Linked DNA regions of Xenopus tropicalis. The protein of the gene in region 1 interacts with the protein of each later gene in a biochemical or structural test. Links are inferred from orthologs where the notes say so. Each region holds a gene or a part of one and is shown on either strand. Other genes may lie near its edges.

Evidence for each region.
Region 2: the proteins of myog (region 1) and csrp3 form a complex in vitro, tested with the Homo sapiens proteins (2 studies listed by BioGRID and IntAct, with this or other methods). The link is inferred for Xenopus tropicalis from reciprocal best matches to the Homo sapiens genes MYOG and CSRP3.

What each region holds. Positions count from the first base shown.
Region 1 is NC_030678.2:54,931,908-54,944,451, reverse strand, and holds the start of myog (myogenin), read right to left. Parts: upstream 8,043-12,544; 5' UTR 8,007-8,042; coding exon 7,500-8,006; intron 3,718-7,499; exon of another isoform or gene 3,693-3,717; coding exon 3,614-3,692; exon of another isoform or gene 3,556-3,613; intron 2,228-3,555; exon of another isoform or gene 2,113-2,227; intron 1,034-2,112; exon of another isoform or gene 820-1,033; intron 1-819. UniProt on the Homo sapiens protein: Acts as a transcriptional activator that promotes transcription of muscle-specific target genes and plays a role in muscle differentiation, cell cycle exit and muscle atrophy.
Region 2 is NC_030680.2:4,236,045-4,248,729, forward strand, and holds the start of csrp3 (cysteine and glycine-rich protein 3), read right to left. Parts: upstream 7,373-12,685; 5' UTR 7,344-7,372; intron 6,366-7,343; 5' UTR 6,334-6,365; coding exon 6,222-6,333; intron 5,392-6,221; coding exon 5,223-5,391; intron 735-5,222; coding exon 602-734; intron 246-601; coding exon 152-245; intron 1-151. UniProt on the Homo sapiens protein: Positive regulator of myogenesis. Acts as a cofactor for myogenic bHLH transcription factors such as MYOD1, and probably MYOG and MYF6.

The DNA.
Region 1 (12,544 bases):
TAAGGGATCTTTCCGTAATTTGGATCTCAATAACTTAAGTCTGCTAAAAATCACTTAAACATTAAATAAACCCAATAGGCTTGTGTTGCCTCCAATAAGGATTAATTATATCTTAGTTGGGATCAAGTAAAAGGTACTGTTTTATTATTACAGAGAAAAAGAAAATCAATTTTAAAAATTAGAATTACTTGCTTATAATGGAGTCTATGGGAGATGGCCTTTCCATAATTCTGCACTTTCTGGATAACGGGTTTCTGGATAAGGAATCCCATACCTGTATTATATATTTTGTGCCCCACATTGTCTTTACAGGGTAGAACTGAGAGCCCAATTTTTTATTTTACTGTTCCATGCTGAAGAAAACTTTAAATGATTTTAAATAAATGGATTTACTTCCATTTCTTTTGACACAGTGTACCCTTGCCCTAATATTTAGGATATTATATTGGCCTATATTCTTGAAAGATATATGAGACATATGAGAGGGGGCTTGCAAAGCCACTTTTGAAAATATTTAAGATTCTCTATAATTTATTGTATTTCTACAACCCAAGAGCAATGCAGTTGCTAAAGCCAAAGTGACACTTCTAATCTTTAATTACTCAGAAACGATGTTGGCTAAATGCAGTATGTATAGTTTTGTAGTAAGTAACTGAATATGTAATCTTAAATAAAAAAATGTGTATGTTTTATACATAAATCACCCAATTAAATTATATTTAACGTGCATGTACTGTATTGCTTTTTAATGTGTAACTTTCTGTTCTGACCTCTCTGGTCTGGAATTTAAAGTAATGTTTAGTTACTAGGGTCACTGACCTCAGGCAGAGAATTAATGGAATGCCAGGCTGAATGTTTCACGTGTCTGTTGTAACTTCTCCCTCTGCTCTCTATTTATGCTTCTGTCTGGCATTCAAACCCCTTTCTGGAAGTTTACACCATACTGGCAGGGCATAGCTGGAGTGGCAGAAAGGTGAAGGAATGAAAAAGCATGATATTTTGCTACTGTCAACAACATCATGCCATTTATTAGGTGAAATTCCCCTTAACAAAACTCAGGGGCTTTTATTTATATGTTGTACTTGAACTGCTGTTATTTTTTGATTGGAAAGAAGTTGTAGCTACTGTTTACCTGAAAATTGCATTTATGTTCTCCAGCCATGTTTGTTAAACTATAGTTTTCAAATGAACAAGATTGGGCATATTTTTATTGCTTTCTTCTCTCTGATGTGTGTATTTTTATTGCTTTCTGCTCTGCAGTTTAACCCTTTTTGTGCTGGCACTTTTTGATATTGCACGTTGCCAGGAAACACACAGTGCACAATGTATCAAAAGGAAACAAGAAACACAGAATCTGTGGCACGGATAGGCTGGTACTCTCATGTCAGTACCAGAAAATGACTAACCACCTGCTCTGTCTCTGCCCAGTGCTGCCATACAGACCTAAGAACTCCCTCATCACAGGTAGTAATTGTGAAGGGGAGGAAAGCTTACTGGAGGATATACAGTCAGGAGCAGAAGCAAGGGGGTAGTTGACAGAAGTGTAGGCTATGGGGGGGGGGGGGATGGAAGTGTAGGGGAATGGAGACAGGGGAAATGAAGGGAAACATAGTGGTGGTAAAGAAAGGAAATGGAGGCAGAAACATAACCATCGATATCAGGGGCCACATCACCAACCATACCTGGGTCCCTCGCAAAAAAGTTCTATGCTAGCAGGGAGGCAGAAATGGAGGGTTCCAGGTTATGTACCTGGTGGGAATGGGGTCTTTGTGTTGTCACCAGCCCCATGGTGTTAGTGGGAGTTGTAGGCTACCAGTGGGACCTCTCTAGGCGGACCCTCAGTGACTGAATGGTCAGAGGGGTCTGTGTTGCTATAGTTACAGTTTCTGAACAAAGGAGGGGGCAGAGTTTTAAAAGACATGCAGTTTAGAGAGTGCTCTTAGTAAATTTCGAATCAGCTGACATTGAGCAATAAATTATAATGAAAAATGTAAAGATTTTAGAATTTATCTTGGAATTACATGTCCTGTATAAAGGAACTTGGCCTGTGGCCTTGTGCTTTTAAATGGTTAGGTAACATCTTGTGATTTCCAATGTCTTTTTAAATTACAGAAGGGGATGTAATATCCAATATATATTCATAAGTCGTGTGAAGCGGTATCCTGTTGACAAAACTATTTGATCTACAAATTGGACCTGCAATCAGGCAAACTTATGAAGACAAATCGTGAATGCCTACATAGAATTATTGCTTATATATATATATCAACATGTATCTCAACATTGGGTTGAAAAAAAACAGTCAACATTCAATAAATTTAGCCCAATTTAGTATTTCTCTTCCACTCCGCAGCATTAGCATATTTGTACAGAATGACTGAATCAGAATATAACTGCTGCATATCATTCTGTCATGATTTTTTAAGACTCTTTTTCTATAAACCATTACAAAATGCATTCCAGTCAACCAGATTCCTATATCCAGAAAAATAACTGATTAAATAACATTTATAATATCTAATTCTTCATTCCATGATGCCAAAGAGCGTAGGTCACCTTATTCTGCCACTTGACCTACTCTTTATAGAACCACCAGCTCTGGTTGGTTCAATTAAATATTACCACTGCAACCAGTTATTTATTTACTTTGAAACTATTTATTGTGAACATGTGATTTTTTTTAATGGTGCGCATAATTTTTAATGTACAGTCTGAAGCCCTAAAGGGATTTCTGTCCCAGTTTAATCCATTAACATCCAGACCATTTGACCTTTCTAGGAAAACAATGTTCTCTACTTTTTATTTTAATGAAAATATAATCTTGTAAGTATACAAGAAATGATGAGGTTGTTCTAATGTTACTTTGGGAAAGGGCTGACTTTCTTCTCTTTTGTGTGTATACCAGAATACAAATTACACCCCCATCTATTTTACTAATGTTGGATACATTTTCACAGCCTTTTCCTTATTATACCTGCATTAGACTGATCAATGCTGAACACTGTTTCCTTTCTTCTTTATTTCAAAAGCAACACAGGGTTAAAACAGGGAAATAAGTGCAGCCACCACAAGCAGAATCCACCTTCTTCATGTAAACATCATTGCCTGTTTTTATTAAGCATTGACATAAAAAGTGTTCTTTTGACTTTGCCAGTGTAAAGTTTCCTCAAAAGCAGGTGTGAATACATTTTCCTTAAAGAAAATGTTGTTTTTGTCCATGCAGTGAATGAAAAGGGCCAGCACAGCAGCTGGACTTACTGGCAGCTCTCTATAAACTACTCTGAGATAAATATATAAAAACAACCATAGTTAATTGATCACAAAGGTCTAGCAAATGTTGATTCAACATCAAGGTTCACCCAGGAAACACCCCAGAGAGGAATATCTAGTTTAGATGATTTATAAGCCATGTTCTGTATATATGCTTTTTTAAATTGAAGCCAATGAATGTTGCCATTTCTGATCCAGGAATAACATTTAAACATAAGCTTTAAGCATCTTCATCCAATATGTATTCAAAATCAAATCATGTTCTTATTTTTTTATTTTTTTCAGTGGTGGTTGGACAGATGAATTTCTCTGTAAAACTGAACTCCATGGTCAAATTACTTACCACTTTGGCTGCCACTAAAGTCAGAATCGTTCCATTCAGGACTACAAGAGGAAGAGCTTGACCCACATTCACTTGATACCTGCAATAAAAAAGTCATTATATTACATATAGTACTGATTATTTTACAGGTAGGGGACCTATTATCCAGAATGCTTGGGAGCTGGGATTTTTCAGATAAGGGGTCTTTCTGGATCCCATACCTTAAGTCTACTAAAAATCATTTAAACATTAAATAAACCTAACAGGATTGTTTTGCCTCCAGTAAGAATGAATAATATCATAGTAGGTATAAAGTACAATGTTCTGTTTTATTATTACAGAGAAAAAGGGAAACATTTAAATTAAATGTTTGATTAAAATGGAGTCTATGGGAGATAGATGTCCTGTAATTTGCCGTTGTTTGCCCTTTGCCCTGACACCAAAGTTTTCATTTTTTGTTTGCTTTTTTCGTTTTAATATAGTATGCTGTCATACTTTCCAGAGGTGACTAAATAATAATGAACAGTTACCTGAAAAGGGACTGAAAAGCACAAGCCAGGTGTAAGTTACAGAGATATGTGTTAAGCACAGAAGTTACATGTATGGAACTTCCTTTAGCAAATTAAGAACTACTAGAATGTTGCCAAGTAGGACACTACAATACATAAATATATGTATGTATACAGAAGTAAGGGGACATCTACACAAATATTATAACTTTGTCTCAGATGTACTGATTTTTTAATTAAATATTCAGACTCTACAAAAATAATATTAATACCTAATTGTCCACCTCAAAAAAATAGTAAAAAGAAATAAATTGCTGACGCGTGCAGAATTTCTACAGCTAATTTATATTATATGAACAGCATTGTATTATTACAGGCAGAATGCACAAAAGCACTGTACTGCTGAGTATATTATGCATATCATAATACATGTGCACATCTGTCTACTGGGGTCATGCTTGTCACTGGGAAATGAATGAAATTTGCAATTCCCCATTATGAGAGAGAGAGGTTCATTTACTGGAGATTGAGCAAGACAAGAACATTACACATTAATGGTGGAACAGAGGCACAGATCTGCACACAGAAAGTTTGTTAATGAAAGCCTCTGATACTACACTATAAGGAAGATGAAATTTCAGGTTTCCTTAAATTCCAGAAACTGCAACTATATCTATACGCATTTTACAAAGTATTCATTTCAAATAATGGAATGTCTTGCTTTTTACAAAGCAGTCAGCAAGTAACTATGTTCAGCAAATTAAGGGTCAGGGTTACATTAAAAAAAAATGACCCCATACCATTGATATATTGAGTTTAAGGGTCACATCGAAAAGCCATGGCAGTTATGTGTGAAACACAATGAAAGATTTCTCTGATGGCTGACTAAAGTGTCCTAATATAAGCCCTGAAATCAATAGGTCAGTTGAATAGTCCAAAGCAATATATAGGAGATACAGACACATGCTATGATCACACACATAGTTTTTAAATAATGGATGATTAATGAACATTTTTTGTGCACGTATGGCTGAATGAGGAAGAGTGGTGCAGTTATAGAGGCTTTGCAACCTGAATGTAAATATGTCAGATGTCATTACTTTGAGGGTGCCTTACAGTGCTCTGGCAACGTAGCTAATGGGAGCCACAGCTCAGTGTGGTGAAAGTATAAATTGTATAAATGTACTCTCAAGTCAATATTAGCAGTATTGTGAATTTTCCAGGCTTACAATCTTACATCTATATCTAGCAAAGTGGGAGAAAGTTAGCTTCTTCAGCCACTGACAGTAATTATATCTGGATCAATATGATTCTAATGCTTTAGGATCATGCAGTCAGCTGAGCCCTTTATTACTCTCAGATAAAGTTCAGATTTCCCAATATATGGCTTTAGGGCTTGAAAGGAGTTAGCGACCAATACAGACTGTATAGGAGAGATCCATATTCTACTGTTTATTTACAGTGCATTTTATTCACTTTCCGGTCGTTAGTTGCAAGTGCAAGATAGCAATTATACAGGCTGCCTCCTCTACAGCAATGATTTCTAGACTTTAAACTGTGGCCATAATTTTTGCCTCACAGAGACAGCTAAGCTGGCCAGACATAGGCCAATTTTGTGTGCACTAATTGGTCAGCCATTGGCTGAGGTATGAGATAGTAGGAAATTTGCACATGCACATGAATTGCCAAATTGCACAGTTTTGATTAGTTGAAATATGTTGCCTAATATGTACCATTGCACCAACAAATCAATATATCATAGATTTTAAAAACAATACGTGTGTATGTATTTTTAAAGAATAAAAAAAATCATGTTTGCCTAGATGAAAACATTTTGCCAATAATTGAAAGTTCTAAAGACACTGGAATTTATTTAATGCAATCCTGCCAATTATCCATGAAACAAAGTAATTCTACTTATATTTCTATACTTTGTCGAATATATCAATATATCCTTACACTATCTCATGGTGGTATATATATATACACACAGTGGAACTAAGCACATGCATTTGCTTTACTCTAGTCTTACTGAAGACAAAAACCCTATTGAAATTCAGTGATCAAGGTCACAGAAAAGGAATATACAGATTTAGACAGCTGTCCCTGAATTTAAAGACCTTACAACTGGTTTAGACAAGGAATCATAACAAGTATACTAGAAACTGACATACATTAAAGAAACATACTAAAAACATGCATTCTACTATATTATTTCTCTTTATTCTCTGCTCCTTCTCTTAATCCCTACTAAAAAAATCACTATATATGTCTGCTGCAATAACAGTGTGTATTAATTTAACCCCTTTAATATCGTACTTGCTGTATTGTCTAGATAATATTTAAAACAATCATTTTGCCTCTGTAGCTTTGCAAAATTAACACAATGGAGAAATGACTTTTCACATTATGGCTCTGCAACAGCTACAGCGGTAAGTTTATAATACCTTCTATATGGTCAGAAGATATGTCGGTACATTGCAGTTTGTCTGGATTAGTGTAGCTTGATTGTATATGCTTATACTATAGGTTTTGTATCCTCAAACTTGTCAAAGAAGTTGATGATGAAAGATCTGAGCTTTGTCTCTCAATGATATTAAACTTAAATATATTCATTATTATTGTTAATGCTCCATATATTTATCCTCTATATATTATTCTTTGAATGTTTTTTATTTAATTTAATGATTTTTCATTTAATTTAATTATTTTTTATACTGGAGAGTTCTATAAAACTGAGTCAAATGACACAAATGCAGAGGATAAGGTAAGATATATATTTCTTAGCACAACAATGACCTCAATGCCCTTAAATGTCACAATTTTTGTGACTTTGATCTTTTCCTGGTTAAACCTACCTTCTTTTCCACTTTACAAACGTTTTGCTTCTAGCAGGGTTATGTACAGCTCTTTGCCCAACAGGTATTGTATATCATAACTGGACATACCTGCTGTTTCACACAATGTAGGCCCTCTTATCATTTCCATCAACAGCATTATTTCTGCTTATATAATATAAGCCATGTATATTGTCATACAATTATACATGGTGAAATTCTAAACACAGGAAAATTCTTATAATAATAAGTAAAACATTTAAATAGATCTAAAAACTGACCTAATTTCACTTAGCAATAGCTAAGTACCCCCCCCCCTTCATCTTAAAAACCCCTTCCCTAGTGGCTTTATGACACATTGGCTTATTGTAGATCCTGGTTATTACTAGCACATAAATCAGAGAAAATAATGACACTAAAACAGATAGTGTGCTGATTTATGTTCAGTGTAGTGTGGCTCAGAGAAGGTTGTTAGGTGTATATGTGTAGGCATGCCTGTGTAAAACAATTAAGATTCCAGGATGAAGCACATTGATAAACTCTATACAAGATTTTACCTACCACCCGTTGGGATCCATTACTGATGAATAATAAATCTCTCTGGTCCCTCTCCTGCTGGTTAAGGGAAGCCAATAGTGTCTGCAAGCGTTCTATATACTGGATGGCGCTCCTTAAGATTTCAACCTTTGGAAGCCTTTGGTTAGGGTTCAACAGAGTGCTTCTTTTCAGGGCTTCAAATGCCTCGTTAACTTTTTTTAACCTGCGCTTTTCCCGTAAGGTAGCAGCCCTCCTTCTGTCCATGGAAACCGTCTTCCTCTTGCATACCTTGCAGGCCCATGGCAAGCATTGGCCAGGGCAATGTTCTTGTTGGGTTACAGTGGGATGGGGAGAAACCTTGTCTTCAATTCCTGAGCCCTGCAATAAAACCCCATCCGCACATATCCCCACAGTGCCACGATCTTGAAACCCAGTTTGCTCATATGTAGGGAGCCTCGCAGAGAAATAGTTATCATTGTCATAAAACCTTTGGTCTGGAAAGAAATAAGGGCTGGTTTCAAAAAGCTCCATCATACAGGGCTGCCTAGAAGTGTTTCCTTTCGACAACTACACAGCAACTGCTCTTCTACTCTTCACACCAACTGTTTGATGCCATTTAAACCCTCTGCCCAGCATTAAATCACGCAGATAAATATAGAAAACATTCACGAAATCTGATCCACTTTTTAGCTGTTGCCTGACATCAAAACTTTTTTTTACATCTGAAAAAGAAGGGATTCTCCCTGGAGGATTCAGCTAGGGGAAAAAAAAGGACAAAAGAAAAATTCCCCTTTAAAAACCTTTTTAGTATTCAAGTTCATGTAACAGTTATATTATTTATTTATATAGAACACATTCATTTAGACAGAACAATAGGAGTACATATACATGTGTGTATATATATATATATATATATATATATAATGTATATATGCTTATTAATCTGTGTGTATGCTTTTAATTGGATTGTGTGTTTCTGTATATCTCATTACATTAAAAATAATGCTCTAAAATAATGCCCTAAAAATAATGATACCAATACAGGAAAAATAAAACAAAAATAGTATTTTATATTCCCGATGTACTGCCCATTTGAATTTATGCTATAGTGTCATTTTTCCCTTCTGTTTATTGCTGCCTTGCATTCAAGAGTGCCATATACATTCATATGTAATGTCTGGGTTGATAAAGGAGCACTGAGAATATCATATTTATATTTGATTTAGAATGCAGTGGTTAGGTACATCTGATACAGAGAATACAATAGACAAAAGGCTGATTCTTGCGCACAATACAGAATAAAGGCAATAACTGATACAACAATATGGTGATGTATAAAAACCAGTATATGTCAGAGGCGGGTGAATATTTTACCTTTTAAATTTTGTTAATCTCTCTTTCCTTGTGCAATAATTTCCCATGCAGGTGCAAGTTTATTTTGTCATAGTTTACGTGTCCTTTAATTCGCTCTGTTTACTTTATGAGCAATGTCTTGTGCATGTGTTCTACAAGAATGAAAGCTGGCCATACATGGGCCATTTAAAGCTGTCAACTGAGTCAGCAGCTTATTAGCCTGTGCATGGGGCCTGGTTGACCGATATTTGGCTGAAAATCATCCAGATATCAATCAGGCAGGTTTGAAAATTCCATCAACTGTGGACTGCATCAGCATTTTGGTGTGGTCATCATTTGACAGGCTTTCATAGGTCCCAATGCCCCCAGGGCTAATGATCAGCCCAAAATGACCCAGGGGCAAATCAGGCCCAGATCTGCTCATTCTGCAATACTACAGTTATGACAGTGAGGGAAGGAAGAAGTCTATAAGGTACCCATAATAGTTTATTCTGTTATTTCAACATGGGCTGTCCAACTAGAGGCCAGTGGGCTGGATGTTGCACTGTAACTGGCAACTTAGTGTCTTTTAATACATAACCAATATGTGCGTTTTATGCCTTCCAGCGACTCCATGAAATCTAGGAATTCAATGGAGTTTTTGCATAGACAGGACATGCTTTTAATATAATCTGGATTGCGAATATGTATTGTAAGCAAGCAGTCAGCTCAGGGGATTAACTCTGGGACTAAGTGCAGGGATTGTACTCACAGGCCAAGGATTGCAAGCATCCAAAACTCCAGATGAGTAGTAGTATTCTTAATAGTTACCATTGCACATAGTATAACAGTTACTATTTTTAGTAGTAGAATTACACTTTTGGTTTAAAGAGACCAAAAATTAATAGTAGAAGTTGCTCTGGTTAGTTGGGCAAATAATAAACCCAATAGGGTATTTGTTATCCCTGAGGTGTACTTGCTTCATATATTTGTGTTATCACCTTTACCCATTTATCAATAGAGGTGTGGAGTCCATTATCTGGAGACCCATAATCCAGAGGGCTCCAAATTACGTGAAGTCCATCTCCCACAGACTCCATTTTAACCAAATAATTTAATAATAAAACAGTATCTTTTACTTTATCTCAACTAAAATATAATTTGTTGTTATTGGAGGCAACACTATTCTATTGGGTTTATGTGATGTTTAAATCATTTTTAGTAGATATAAGGTATAATTAAATTAAAGAAAGATCCCTTATCCTGTAAACTCCAGGTCCCGTGCATTTAGATAACAGGTCCCATTTGTATAGTATGAAGTGCTGTACACATGTTGCTTAACCACTGTGCCACACCCCTTGACCATCTCTTGGGCTCATCTGCTGTTAGTTACAGCCATTTGTAATGAGTTATTTTAAGAACTATTGGCAAGGATTCATTATTAGGGGCTGAGACAGTGTGAGTCTACATGCCGCTCATAACTCATGACCTACTAACCAATGGCAGCTGACTAGGCTCTACTAACCAGTCAGCCAGATACAGTACTGTTCTGAGATTTGCTGAGATCAGAAACGTGTACCATTTCTCAGGAACTCAGGAATCTGACCTGCATTCTCACAAACTAACTGAACAGTTATGTCCCATGTGGCCCCCCTAAAGTCAGTGACTAAGAGGTTAGAGAGCTGAAAGCAGACAGTAGTGTTCTGGCTATTATGTTAGACATCTGCTCACTCCAGCCTTTATAGCTTACATTTTTGCCTAACTCTATTGCAAACATTTTTTATTTTGCATACTCTATCCATTTTACCCAATTTCATTTTTACACTTGACTGTTCCTTAAAGGCCTTAGAGCAGAGCACCTACAAAAATAATCATCCTTCACTTGCTATGGACAACCATTTGCTTTGTATTTTTGTCCTCTGTAAATCTTCTCGCCATCCCAGATGTATTCAGTCTTCTATAATTGCCTTTGCTAAGTTCCTGTGTATGTTTTCACTGACTTTCCCCTTGATTAAAGAAACCCATACATAAAGATGAAGCAGATATAAATGGTACAGCCAGTGCACAATGTACTTGCAATTTACCTCACCTTTCATTTAATTGGAAAAAAGAAAGGATACTGCCAAATACTTCAGTTAAACCTAGCTTGTCTCAACAGTCTGGCATTTGGATTTCATAAATCAATAGGTCAATAACTATTCTAAACCTGTGTGAAATCACTCCCTATGCTGCTCTTTAAGGCTCAGTTACACTAAAACCTATACTAGATATACCATGACCTGGATGAATGAAAATATCCATAGTCATATTTTCTGGTAGATAGAAAAAGTGTGAGCAGCAGCTCCCGTTGCCCACCACCATCAAGGGACAGGTGTAGTACTACTCATTTCATGCAGCCTATGCACACTCAGACCACATTATGAGACTAATGGGGGAATAAAAGCCATCTGCAGAAAAAATATTTTCAATGTGAACAATATATAATATAACAGCTTATATACGCTTATAGGGGTCATTTATCTTCCCACTGGCACAAGTATAGGAGTGCTAAGTAGAGCAAGACCCCTTCCCTTAGTGCTCACTTACAGAGAACTTGTGCCCCCTGGGTTGCTGGTGTCAGTAATTACAATGGAGATGGGAATGGGGATGAAGTTACTATGTATATTTTTTACTATTCTTTATATGACTGAGATGAGGTTGGTCACATGTCACTGCACCCACTCTAGGGTAGGAATCACAGATTGGGGTGACACAACAGAAGTGGCTAAAAATGGGTTGGGCAATGAAAGTGCAACTGAGCTAATTTCCTATAGCATGATTTCTCTGTAAGAATATATATGGTTCCAGTTGCTGCCAGAGTGAATATAAAAGTTTGATGTGTTCTGGCTAGCTAGAGACATACATGCTGCAGCTGCAAACAGCCTTTAATGCCTCTAACCATTCTAAGAACCAAGCTGAAGCACCAATATTGTCATTTTTTATCAGGTCTGGATTTGGAATATTACTGGGTTTTGGAATATTATGAAATAACTAGCATAGACAAAGATAACAACACATGTTATTACTACCTTAATACTTAGCAAGGTTTTTATACTAGCAAGGTTTTTATCAAGACCAGTACTGTAATTATTCAGACATAATAAGGACCATCCTAAAAAACCCAATAATCTCATTTAGCCAACTGAGGCACAGGAGGGGTCATTTATCATGTATAAGGCAGGGTACAAAGTACAATAAACAGATGCAGGCCACCATGTTTTTTGTATTTTGCCAATGGGCACAGGTGTTTGCCCTCCAAAATGGAATGCAAGGACCTACACTGCCCCCAAGAATACAGAACTTCCAAGCTGTATTCATGAGGGGCAGACTACCCGGCCACTAGCTTGCACATCATTAAGGCTTGCCTGAATGGGGTACTAAGTGCCTTATGAGGTAGTAAGGACAGAAGCACCTACCAAGTGAGTAGCCTATGGTCATAGGAGTTAACCAGCAATGGAACATGGGTCTCTCAAATCTTTCTTTCTGATGTTTCTGCAAAGGCCTGCCCAGCTATAGAGAGTTAGGTGGTATTAAGTACAAAGAACAAAAGTCAACTCTGTATATTTGTGACCTCTTTATATGTTGGATATGCAGGTGGAAAAGGGGGCACATATATCCTCACATGGGTGATTTCTGGCCATTTTTTCACAAGGAAAAATGTAAAAAGGGCAACAAAATACATGTACCATTCATAATGT
Region 2 (12,685 bases), on another chromosome or scaffold:
CCCTTGGATGCCGTAATATAAGTATATACTGTAAGTAGCGCTTTATAAATAAAGATATACATACATACATCACTTCTTTACCGAACCATATAAAAAAAAATTGTAAAAGCCCCACCCATTTAAGTGCCCCGCCCCCTTGTATTTGCCAGACCTTTGCAGTATATCTCTCCATCTTTCTCCGTTACGGTGGTGGAGTCCAGACTTTTGCCACAAAAGGCACAGCGGAAGCAGGTTTTGTGCCAGGGCTGCAGGAGAAGAAAGGGGAAAAACACACAATCAGCTTTCAGCAATCGCTTCTAGAACATTCTCTGTGCAGTATAAGTGGCCCCGCTGTGAGTGACCCCTCTATGGTGTGACCCAGTCTAGAACTGACCACTAATCTATCTCGGTTGGTTCTAGAGTGGGGCTATTCAGAACCCGAATGCCGACACCAGGGAGCTATGCTTCTCTTCCCAGACTTTTGGGGTTACTGTTCTTTTCGTACGTACATATATATATATATATATATATATATATATATATATATATATATATATATATATATATTTATTTATTTATTATTGGGGCAGAGACCCCAGAGAGCAGCACAGAAATCACTTACCTGCCCTCCTCCCATCACTCTCTCGGCGGCGTATACTGATTTCTGGCACCGGGGGCATTTCTCTGTGGCACCAAACTTCTGCGTGAATTTTGAAGTATGTGTAGTTGTGGGGGATCCGCGGGCAGGGTGGGATCTGCGCAATTGTACGGAGAGTAAATGCACAGTTTGCTCACACAGTGATAATATCTGTAGGTAGTTATGTAGCTGTGTGATTATGGGGTAAGGTGGGATATTACCCAGAATCCCTGGCTGTGAGGGAAGCGCTGGGGGCTGTGTGATTATGGGGTAAGGTGGGATATTACCCAGAATCCCTGGCTGTGAGGGAAGCGCTGGGGGCTGTGTGATTATGGGGTAAGGTGGGATATTACCCAGAATCCCTGGCTGTGAGGGAAGCGCTGGGTGCTGTGTGATTATGGGGTAAGGTGGGATATTACCCAGAATCCCTGGCTGTGAGGGAAGCGCTGGGGGCTGTGTGATTATGGGGTAAGGTGGGATATTACCCAGAATCCCTGGCTGTGAGGGAAGCGCTGGGGGCTGTGTGATTAAGGGGGTAAGGTGGGATATTACCCAGAATGCCTGGCTGTGAGGGAAACGCTGGGTGCTGTGTGATTATGGGGTAAGGTGGGATATTACCCAGAATGCCTGGCTGTGAGGGAAGCGCTGGGGGCTGTGTGATTATGGGGTAAGGTGGGATATTACCCAGAATCCCTGGCTGTGAGGGAAGCGCTGGGTGCTGTGTGATTATGGGGTAAGGTGGGATATTACCCAGAATGCCTGGCTGTGAGGGAAGCGCTGGGTGCTGTGTGATTATGGGGTAAGGTGGGATATTACCCAGAATCCCTGGCTGTGAGGGAAGCGCTGGGTGCTGTGTGATTATGGGGTAAGGTGGGATATTACCCAGAATCCCTGGCTGTGGGGGAAGAGCTGGGTGCTGTGTGATTATGGGGTAAGGTGGGATATTACCCAGAATCCCTGGCTGTGAGGGAAGCGCTGGGTGCTGTGTGATTATGGGGTAAGGTGGGATATTACCCAGAATCCCTGGCTGTGAGGGAAGCGCTGGGGGCTGTGTGATTATGGGGTAAGGTGGGATATTACCCAGAATCCCTGGCTGTGAGGGAAGCGCTGGGGGCTGTGTGATTATGGGGTAAGGTGGGATATTACCCAGAATCCCTGGCTGTGAGGGAAGAGCTGGGTGCTGTGTGATTATGGGGTAAGGTGGGATATTACCCAGAATCCCTGGCTGTGAGGGAAGCGCTGGGGGCTGTGTGATTAAGGGGGTAAGGTGGGATATTACCCAGAATGCCTGGCTGTGAGGGAAACGCTGGGTGCTGTGTGATTATGGGGTAAGGTGGGATATTACCCACAATCCCTGGCTGTGAGGGAAGCGCTGGGTGCTGTGTGATTATGGGGTAAGGTGGGATATTACCAGAATGCCTGGCTGTGAGGGAAGCGCTGGGGGCTGTGTGATTATGGGTAAGGTGGGATATTACACAGAATGCCTGGCTGTGAGGGAAGCGCTGGGTGCTGGGTGATTATGGGGTAAGGTGGGATATTACCCAGAATCCCTGGCTGTGGGGGAAGCGCTGGGTGCTGTGTGATTATGGGTTAAGGTGGGATATTACCCAGAATCCCTGGCTGTGAGGGAAGAGCTGGGTGCTGGGTGATTATGGGGTAAGGTGGGATATTACCCAGAATCCCTGGCTGTGAGGGAAGCGCTGGGTGCTGTGTGATTATGGGGTAAGGTGGGATATTACCCAGAATCCCTGGCTGTGAGGGAAGCGCTGGGGTGCTGTGTGATTATGGGGTAAGGTGGGATATTACCCAGAATCCCTGGCTGTGAGGGAGGCGCTGGGTGCTGTGTGATTATGGGGTAAGGTGGGATATTACCCAGAATCCCTGGCTGTGAGGGAAGCGCTGGGTGCTGTGTGATTATGGGGTAAGGTGGGATATTACCCAGAATCCCTGGCTGTGAGGGAAGCGCTGGGGGCTGTGTGATTATGGGGTAAGGTGGGATATTACCCAGAATCCCTGGCTGTGAGGGAAGCGCTGGGGGGCTGTGTGATTATGGGGTAAGGTGGGATATTACCCAGAATCCCTGGCTGTGAGGGAAGAGCTGGGGGCTGTGTGATTATGGGGTAAGGTGGGATATTACCCAGAATCCCTGGCTGTGTGGGAAGAGCTGGGTGCTGTGTGATTATGGGGTAAGGTGGGATATTACCCAGAATCCCTGGCTGTGAGGGAAGCGCTGGGTGCTGTGTGATTATGGGGTAAGGTGGGATATTACCCACAATCCCTGGCTGTGAGGGAAGCGCTGGGGGCTGTGTGATTATGGGGTAAGGTGGGATATTACCCAGAATCCCTGGCTGTGAGGGAAGCGCTGGGTGCTGTGTGATTATGGGGTAAGGTGGGATATTACCCACAATCCCTGGCTGTGAGGGAAGCGCTGGGGGCTGTGTGATTATGGGGTAAGGTGGGATATTACCCAGAATCCCTGGCTGTGAGGGAAGCGCTGGGTGCTGTGTGATTATGGGGTAAGGTGGGATATTACCCAGAATCCCTGGCTGTGAGGGAAGCGCTGGGTGCTGGGTGATTATGGGGTAAGGTGGGATATTACCCAGAATCCCTGGCTGTGGGGGAAGCTGGGGGGCTGTGTGATTATGGGGTAAGGTGGGATATTACCTAGAATCCCTGGCTGTGAGGGAAGCGCTGGGTGCTGTGTGATTATGGGGTAAGGTAGGATATTACCCAGAATCCCTGGCTGTGAGGGAAGCGCTGGGGGCTGGGTGATTATGGGGTAAGGTGGGATATTACCCAGAATCCCTGGCTGTGGGGGAAGCGCTGGGTGCTGTGGTGATTATGGGGTAAGGTGGGATATTACCAAGAATCCCTGGCTGTGAGGGAAGCGCTGGGTGCTGTGTGATTATGGGGTAAGGTGGGATATTACCCAGAATCCCTGGCTGTGGGGGAAGCGCTGGGTGCTGTGTGATTATGGGGTAAGGTGGGATATTACCCAGAATCCCTGGCTGTGAGGGAAGCGCTGGGTGCTGTGTGATTATGGGGTAAGGTGGGATATTACCCAGAATCCCTGGCTGTAACGGAAGAGCTGGGTGCTGTGTGATTATGGGGTAAGGTGGGATATTACCCAGAATCCCTGGCTGTGAGGGAAGCGCTGGGTGCTGGGTGATTATGGGGTAAGGTGGGATATTACCCAGAATCCCTGGCTGTGAGGGAAGCGCTGGGTGCTGTGTGATTATGGGGGAAGGTGGGATATTACCCAGAATCCCTGGCTGTGAGGGAAGCGCTGGGGGCTGTGTGATTATGGGGTAAGGTGGGATATTACCCAGAATCCCTGGCTGTGAGGGAAGCGCTGGGTGCTGTGTGATTATGGGGTAAGGTGGGATATTACCCAGAATCCCTGGCTGTGAGGGAAGTGCTGGGTGCTGTGTGATTATGGGGTAAGGTAGGATATTACCCAGAATCCCTGGCTGTGAGGGAAGTGCTGGGTGCTGTGTGATTATGGGGTAAGGTAGGATATTACCCAGAATCCCTGGCTGTGAGGGAAGCGCTGGGTGCTGGGTGATTATGGGGTAAGGTGGGATATTACCCAGAATCCCTGGCTGTGAGGGAAGCGCTGGGTGCTGTGTGATTATGGGGTAAGGTGGGATATTACCCAGAATCCCTGGCTGTGAGGGAAGCGCTGGGTGCTGTGTGATTATGGAGGAAGGTGGGATATTACCCAGAATCCCTGGCTGTGAGGGAAGAGCTGGGTGCTGTGTGATTATGGGGTAAGGTGGGATATTACCCAGAATCCCTGGCTGTGAGGGAAGCGCTGGGTGCTGTGTGATTATGGGGTAAGGTGGGATATTACCCAGAATACCTGGCTGTGAGGGAAGCGCTGGGTGCTGTGTGATTATGGGGTAAGGTGGGATATTACCCAGAATCCCTGGCTGTGAGGGAAGCGCTGGGTGCTGTGTGATTATGGGGTAAGGTGGGATATTACCCAGAATCCCTGGCTGTGAGGGAAGCGCTGGGTGCTGTGTGATTATGGGGTAAGGTGGGATATTACCCAGAATCCCTGGCTGTGAGGGAAGCGCTGGGGGCTGTGTGATTATGGGGTAAGGTGGGATATTACCCAGAATCCCTGGCTGTGAGGGAAGCGCTGGGTGCTGTGTGATTATGGGGTAAGGTGGGATATTACCCAGAATCCCTGGCTGTGAGGGAAGCGCTGGGTGCTGTGTGATTATGGGGTAAGGTGGGATATTACCCAGAATCCCTGGCTGTGAGGGAAGCGCTGGGTGCTGTGTGATTATGGGGTAAGGTGGGATATTACCCAGAATCCCTGGCTGTGAGGGAAGCGCTGGGTGCTGTGTGATTATGGGGGAAGGTGGGATATTACCCAGAATCCCTGGCTGTGAGGGAAGCGCTGGGGGCTGTGTGATTATGGGGTAAGGTGGGATATTACCCAGAATCCCTGGCTGTGAGGGAAGCGCTGGGTGCTGGGTGATTATGAGATAAGGTGGGATATTACCCAGAATCCCTGGCTGTGAGGGAAGCGCTGGGTGCTGTGGGATTATGGGGTAAGGTGGGATATTACCCAGAATCCCACATTAGAAGGACTTACTCTGCCACTTCGATGCCAAATCGCTCCCCCGTATCGGTGCTGAGGCAGCCGGCGCCCTGGCCGTACCCGTATCCCTTGGGGCCATATTTCCTCCCATAGCAGGACTTGCAGTAGATTTCAGACTCGTGAGCGGCCACCGTGGTGCTGTCCAGGGCTTTCCTGCAGACCACTAGCCGGGGGAACATGGAGAGCGTTAATACCAGTCTGGGGCCTCCCGGGGCTTCCCATAAGGGCACTGAGTGCTGGGGGTAAGTACACGGAGGTTCTGTAGGTATCAGTAGGATGGAGGGAAGGGCAGGTTAATCTATGGATATTGTTCCTTATGCGGAATGTTCTAGAAGCAGTGAGAGCGGTCAGCTGGACTGATGTTATCAGAGCCAAGATAGCCGCACTAATCGGGGCATATAATGGGCACAAGCACTGGCACCAAGAGCAGATCAAACGCTTCTATTCTTAGAATCACCGCGGGCGCCGTGCCAGGGCAGATGCCACTAAAGCCTTTAAAGTGGAATTGTCAGAATATCTCTGAAACTCGTCACTTATCAGCTGCGCATTAAGTTCTGGCATGGGGGGGGGGCAGAAGTGTGGGTGGCACAACAACTGTGCCCCAGTCGCGCCAATGAGCCACCGGATCTATTTATAAAGCGGGTAGTTTGGGGGATAATGATCCACTTGTGAGACTTTATTCCAAGTTACCCTTTAAAGTGAAGAGGTTGTACAAACACCAGGGCTGGATCACTATCTCCCTGGCATGGGGTTGGTAGCTCTGTAGCTGAGCTTAACCCATTGGTCAGGCCCCCCAGTGCCAACACCATGAGTAGCCACGCCCATAACAGCATGAACAGTCACTGAGGGACCAACCCCGCCCACACTAAAGGGTAACATGAAATAAGATGATCTCTGTGTTCCCCCCATAGCATAGGGGCAAGGGCAAATATCCTACACCGAAACCATCACCATGCCAACGTATGATGGGCAGGAGGGCCCCGCTCTACTCACTGCAGATGAAGCACGGCTTGTGGAAGCTCCTCCCATTGCACTGGATCTCCTCGGCGTGGTACACTGTCTTGTCACAAGCGCCACACTTGGCGCCCCCACCCAAGATGGGCATCCTTCAGCCTGTCAGTGGCTCGGAGAGAGGAGCTGCGGGGCAGTTATAGAACGGCCAATTCTTAGCAACTTTTCAATTGGTCTTTATTATTTATTTCTTACAGTTTTTGAATTATTTGCCTTTTTCTTTAAACTCTGCAGCTTTCAAACAGGGGGTCACTGACCCCGGCAACCAAAAACAATTGCTCTGCGAGGCAACAATTTTTTTGTTAGTACTTTTCCCTATTTTTTCTTTTATTCAGCCCCTCTCCTATTGATATATCAGTCTCTCATTCAAACCACTCCCTGGTTGCTAAGGTAATTTGGATCTTAGCAACCAGATAGCTGTTATACAAACTGGAGAGCTGCTCAACAATTATTGAAACAATTAAAAAACTACAAATAATAAAAAATGAAGACCAATTGCAAATTGTCTCAGAATATGACTCTCTACATCATACTAAACATTAACTCTTTCACATCCCCTTTAAAGAAACACTGCCATCAGAATCTCATATATTCACTGCTATTTCTACCCATTGCTTGGCACTGACTGGCATTCCTGGTACCCATGTGACTGGGGCAGAAACTGCCGCCCTCTCATTATGGCTCCTTTATCATCCCCTAACGAGCCTGCATTGGCCCTTATGATGATTGGATATAGCCAATATGGGCCGCCATGTTTGTGACCTTCAGCACTCCCTGCTTGTTCTGACGAGTTGCCTGTTATGTTTGGGTTTATTTCCCCTTTAACTGGGATCAGTTTGGGATACAAGTAGCCTTTGGGTAATGGCTTGGTGCCCAAGTGGCCACAGTGCCAAAGGGATGCCCAGCAGTACAGTAATAATATGATTTCTGATTGGCCCTGTTTGTACAATGGGTGCCACCTTAGTTACAGTCGCCACCCAGCACCCATCAAGTTCCACCCTCTATCCAGAGAATTCCCACCTTGACTCTAATTGCCCCCCAGTTCATTGGCCCAAATGTCCCCCCATTTTTTTCCAAATAAAACCCCCCTCCGTTGCTACTCACAGGCAGGTGGTGTGTCCCCCAGGGCTGAGTCTGCAGAGTGCTGAGCCGGGGGCTCCCCGAACCCTTTAAATTCCCCAGAAAGCTCTTCCCCCCGGGGGGGGGGGGACTGAGTAATGGGTGGGACATCTGTGAACTCACCCGGCCCGAAATAGAACGTGAGCAACCCCTGGATTTCTTCCCTCAGACTCACACAGAGCGGCAGGATAACAAAGGAATTGCAGGGAGGGTCAGAACTTCCCCGGCGCTGGGTCCAGTTTCACTCTCACTTTCATTGTTTAACCCTTTCAGCAGAATTGGGAAACTCCGCTACTATAGCACCCAAACCCAAATCTGGTGTCTCTCCCTCCATCCTCTGTGACTTCCTAGTGCAGAATGAGCAACCGGGCATCCTCCCCCGAGCAAATACATACACTTCATGGGGAAGTATTTATTCACCCTCAGCTACTAGCTTGTATTGTGGCACCCCCTACCCATATGTATAAATACAAATATACAGAGAAGGAATGTTCTGGGCACACAATAAGCTGTACCCCCATACTGTACTGTCTAAGGGAAACACTATGGCACCCCCTACCCATATGTATAAATACAAATATACAGAGAAGGAATGTTCTGGGCACACAATAAGCTGTACCCCCATACTGTACTGTCTAAGGGAAACACTATGGCACCCCCTACCCATATGTATAAATACAAATATACAGAGAAGGAATGTTCTGGGCACACAATAAGCTGTACCCCCATACTGTACTGTCTAAGGGAAACACTATGGCACCCCCTACCCATATGTATAAATACAAATATACAGAGAAGGAATGTTCTGGGCACACAATAAGCTGTACCCTCATACTGTACTGTCTAAGGGAAACACTATGGCACCCCCTACCCATATGTATAAATACAAATATACAGAGAAGGAATGTTCTGGGCACACAATAAGCTGTACCCCCATACTGTACTGTCTAAGGGAAACACTATGGCACCTCCTACCCATATGTATAAATACAAATATACAGAGTAGGAATGTTCTGGGCACACAATAAGCTGTACCCCCATACTGTACTGTCTAAGGGAAACACTATGGCACCCCCTACCCATATGTATAAATACAAATATACAGAGAAGGAATGTTCTGGGCACACAATAAGCTGTACCCCCATACTGTACTGTCTAAGGGAAACACTATGGCACCCCCTACCCATATGTATAAATACAAATATACAGAGAAGGAATGTTCTGGGCACACAATAAGCTGTACCCCCATACTGTACTGTCTAAGGGAAACACTATGGCACCCCCTACCCATATGTATAAATACAAATATACAGAGAAGGAATGTTCTGGGCACACAATAAGCTGTACCCCCATACTGTACTGTCTAAGGGAAACACTATGGCACCCCCTACCCATATGTATAAATACAAATATACAGAGAAGGAATGTTCTGGGCACACAATAAGCTGTACCCCCATACTGTACTGTCTAAGGGAAACACTATGGCACCCCCTACCCATATGTATAAATACAAATATACAGAGAAGGAATGTTCTGGGCACACAATAAGCTGTACCCCCATACTGTACTGTCTAAGGGAAACACTATGGCACCCCCTACCCATATGTATAAATACAAATATACAGAGAAGGAATGTTCTGGGCACACAATAAGCTGTACCCCCATACTGTACTGTCTAAGGGAAACACTATGGCACCTCCTACCTCATTAGAGAACAAAGGGGAAGTAAGCAGTCGTATTGGCATTTTCCACACTTGATTTTATTGCTATTCCAGAGCTCAGTTTTGTGGGAAAGCCAAGGAAAAACTGACGGAATTTGTTTCCACATCAGCAGAACTGCAATCGCTTTCATTGGGCTGAATTCCCGGGGGCAGTTCACAAAGGGACAAAGTATTAATATTAACAGGTGCAATAGTCACAAGTGCTGCCCCTTTAAAGGGGTGGTTCACCTTTAAGTTATATCAGTGTCTGTGTCATACTTACAGTTAATTTAAAGGTGAACTTCCCCTTTAATAACTACCATTTATTGTATGAGGTTTGTGACTGTAACGTTTGGGCTCAGGGATGCCATTCAGGCTGTGTGGGAGGAGCTAGCAGCCGTGGGTGGGAGTGGTTTGTGTGCCAGGGATACTCTGATTGGAGTCCTACATAGGGAATGAAGGGGGTAACGGAAATGTATAGCCTTTGCTAAAGGGGGTGTGAACCCTCCATAAAACTGCCCCACTAGGCAAATGAACTGACCAATAAGAACGCTGCTGAATCCAAATGAATTACAGATGCAAATGAACTGACCAATAAGAACGCTGCTGAATCCAAATGAATTACAGATGCAAATGAACTGACCAATGAGAACGCTGCTGAATCCAAATGAATTACAGATGCAAATGAACTGACCAATGAGAACGCTGCTGAATCCAAATGAATTACAGATGCAAATGAACTGACCAATGAGAACGCTGCTGAATCCAAATGAATTACAGATGCAAATGAACTGACCAATGAGAATGCTGCTGAATCCAAATGAATGACAGAGACAAAAGAATAAACCAATTGAGCGATTGGCTAAGGGCCAAGGTACAGGAGCCCAGTAGGAGGGTCCCGGTGCAACTCCTGTAATTGCACCCAGCCATGTAGCATGTGGGGCAGATTTGGGCCGGATTTAGTGCATGTGTACATGGCAAAGGAATGGCAGATAAAGGGGCTGCTGGGAGCAGGAGGAGGAGGGCACGGAGCTAAATCTGCCAGCTGACTCCACTTATTACCCAGGATTCCCACTCACTATTCATAGCCACAAACCCCATCTCTCTGTCCCTGAAATAGCCCCCCCCCTGGGCAATTGCCCGATGCCCCCCCCCCCGGCCTCTGACTCATGGGAACACTGGGGCAGGGAAAGATACAAAGCATCACTGGCCCCATAGTATCTCTGCTCCTACTGGCTCCCAGGTAGGATAGTGGGCGGGGAGAAGGCATTTGTAGGCGAATGGGAGCCTCGGGGCAACCAATTGAGCACACAGGGCAAATATTTAGTATTTTTATTAACAACTGCCCCGTTTTCTAACCCTCACATAAGGTACAATGACCCAACCTACCTTCCCCTAGGAGATCCCCATATTCATTACTGTCAGTCTGTGGGGCTCTCATGCAGAATGTGATGTCTCTGGTTGCTAGGGACCCAATTACCCTAGCAATGAGGCAGTGGTTTGAATAGAAGACTCAGAGGTGAATAGGAGAAGGTCCAAACAGAATGGCAGTAAAAATCAGGCCTGTCATTATTTGGTTGTTGGGTGTCACTGACCCTAGCAACTAGCAGTTAGGGGAAGAGTGAAAAGCAAAGCGTAATTGGTGCACATTTACTTTAGGGTAAGCGTTGCTATGGAGTTGGTACTTTGGCAACCTTGTAGGTATGAACTGCTGTTATGAGAGCCGCAGTGACCCAATACATCACAACAAACACTCCAACCTGGACTACATTTCCCACAATGCCTTGCACACCTCCCAGGTCTTTTACAGCACAGAGCATGCAAGGCATTGTGGGAATTGGAGCCTAGGCTGGAGCAACTTTTCAATTGGTCTTCATTTTATTTTTATATATATATAGTTTTTTTATTCTTTCCAGCCTTCAAAGAGGGGTCACTGACCCCAGCAGCCAAAATAATATAGCTCTGTGAGGCTACAATTTGTTACTTTTTATATTCAGTTCCTCTCCTATTCATTTGCCAGTCTCTCATTCAAACCACTCCCCAGTTGCTAAGGTAATTTGAACCCTAGCAACCAGATAGCTGCTGAAAGCATCCTGGTACCTTTCACAAGCCTCAGGGGAGGTTCTTACTGATAATGGCAGATTATTCTATAAAGGGTGGGTGGGAGAGGGGCCCTGTCTCCCCTGTGTGACAGAAGTCAAGTAGCAGAACCCGGAGAGGTTACAAGGTAACGGAGACAAGGTGTCATCTTATCACTTGCCTCATGGAAATTCTCCATTATGTCACCACATTCCTGCTGCAGCCTGTACTGTGTCACCCGATAACCCACATGGGAAAGCCATGGGGTTAAACAGGAGATATACGGTTATTCTGGTAAATTAATATTGCCCAGAACATTCCAACTTTCTATATACATATGGGTAGGAGGTGCCATAGTGTTTCCCTTAGACAGTACAGTATGGGGGTACAGCTTATTGTGTGCCCAGAACATTCCTTCTCTGTATATTTGTATTTATACATATGGGTAGGGGGTGCCATAGTGTTTCCCTTAGACAGTACAGTATGGGGGTACAGCTTATTGTGTGCCCAGAACATTCCTTCTCTGTATATTTGTATTTATACATATGGGTAGGGGGTGCCATAGTGTTTCCCTTAGACAGTACAGTATGGGGGTACAGCTTATTGTGTGCCCAGAACATTCCTTCTCTGTATATTTGTATTTATACATATGGGTAGGGGGTGCCATAGTGTTTCCCTTAGACAGTACAGTATGGGGGTACAGCTTATTGTGTGCCCAGAACATTCCCTCTCTGTATATTTGTATTTATACACATGGGTAGGGGGTGCCATAGTGTTTCCCTTAGACAGTACAGTATGGGGGTACAGCTTATTGTGTGCCCAGAACATTCCCTCTCTGTATATTTGTATTTATACACATGGGTAGGGGGTGCCATAGTGTTTCCCTTAGACAGTACAGTACGGGGGTACAGCTTATTGTGTGCCCAGAACATTCCTTCTCTGTATATTTGTATTTATACATATGGGTAGGAGGTGCCATAGTGTTTCCCTTAGACAGTACAGTATGGGGGTACAGCTTATTGTGTGCCCAGAACATTCCTTCTCTGTATATTTGTATTTATACATATGGGTAGGAGGTGCCATAGTGTTTCCCTTAGACAGTACAGTATGGGGGTACAGCTTATTGTGTGCCCAGAACATTCCTTCTCTGTATATTTGTATTTATACATATGGGTAGGGGGTGCCATAGTGTTTCCCTTAGACAGTACAGTATGGGGGTACAGCTTATTGTGTGCCCAGAACATTCCTTCTCTGTATATTTGTATTTATACATATGGGTAGGAGGTGCCATAAAAACAAACAATTCTTCAACAACAAAATTTTAATTTCATTGAGAATATTTTATATATAAATAATTGTATTTCTCCCCCCCAAAAAAAATCCTGATTGAGTGCATTGCTGTTCCACCCAATACAATAACAGCTTCTCCTGCACAGTCATACAATTAAAACCACAAACCCCTTTGGGGGGGGGGAGGGGGGTAATTTATAAAAAACAAAAAACATAACACTGTATATACATCACAGTATGGTCATTGTGCAAATATCT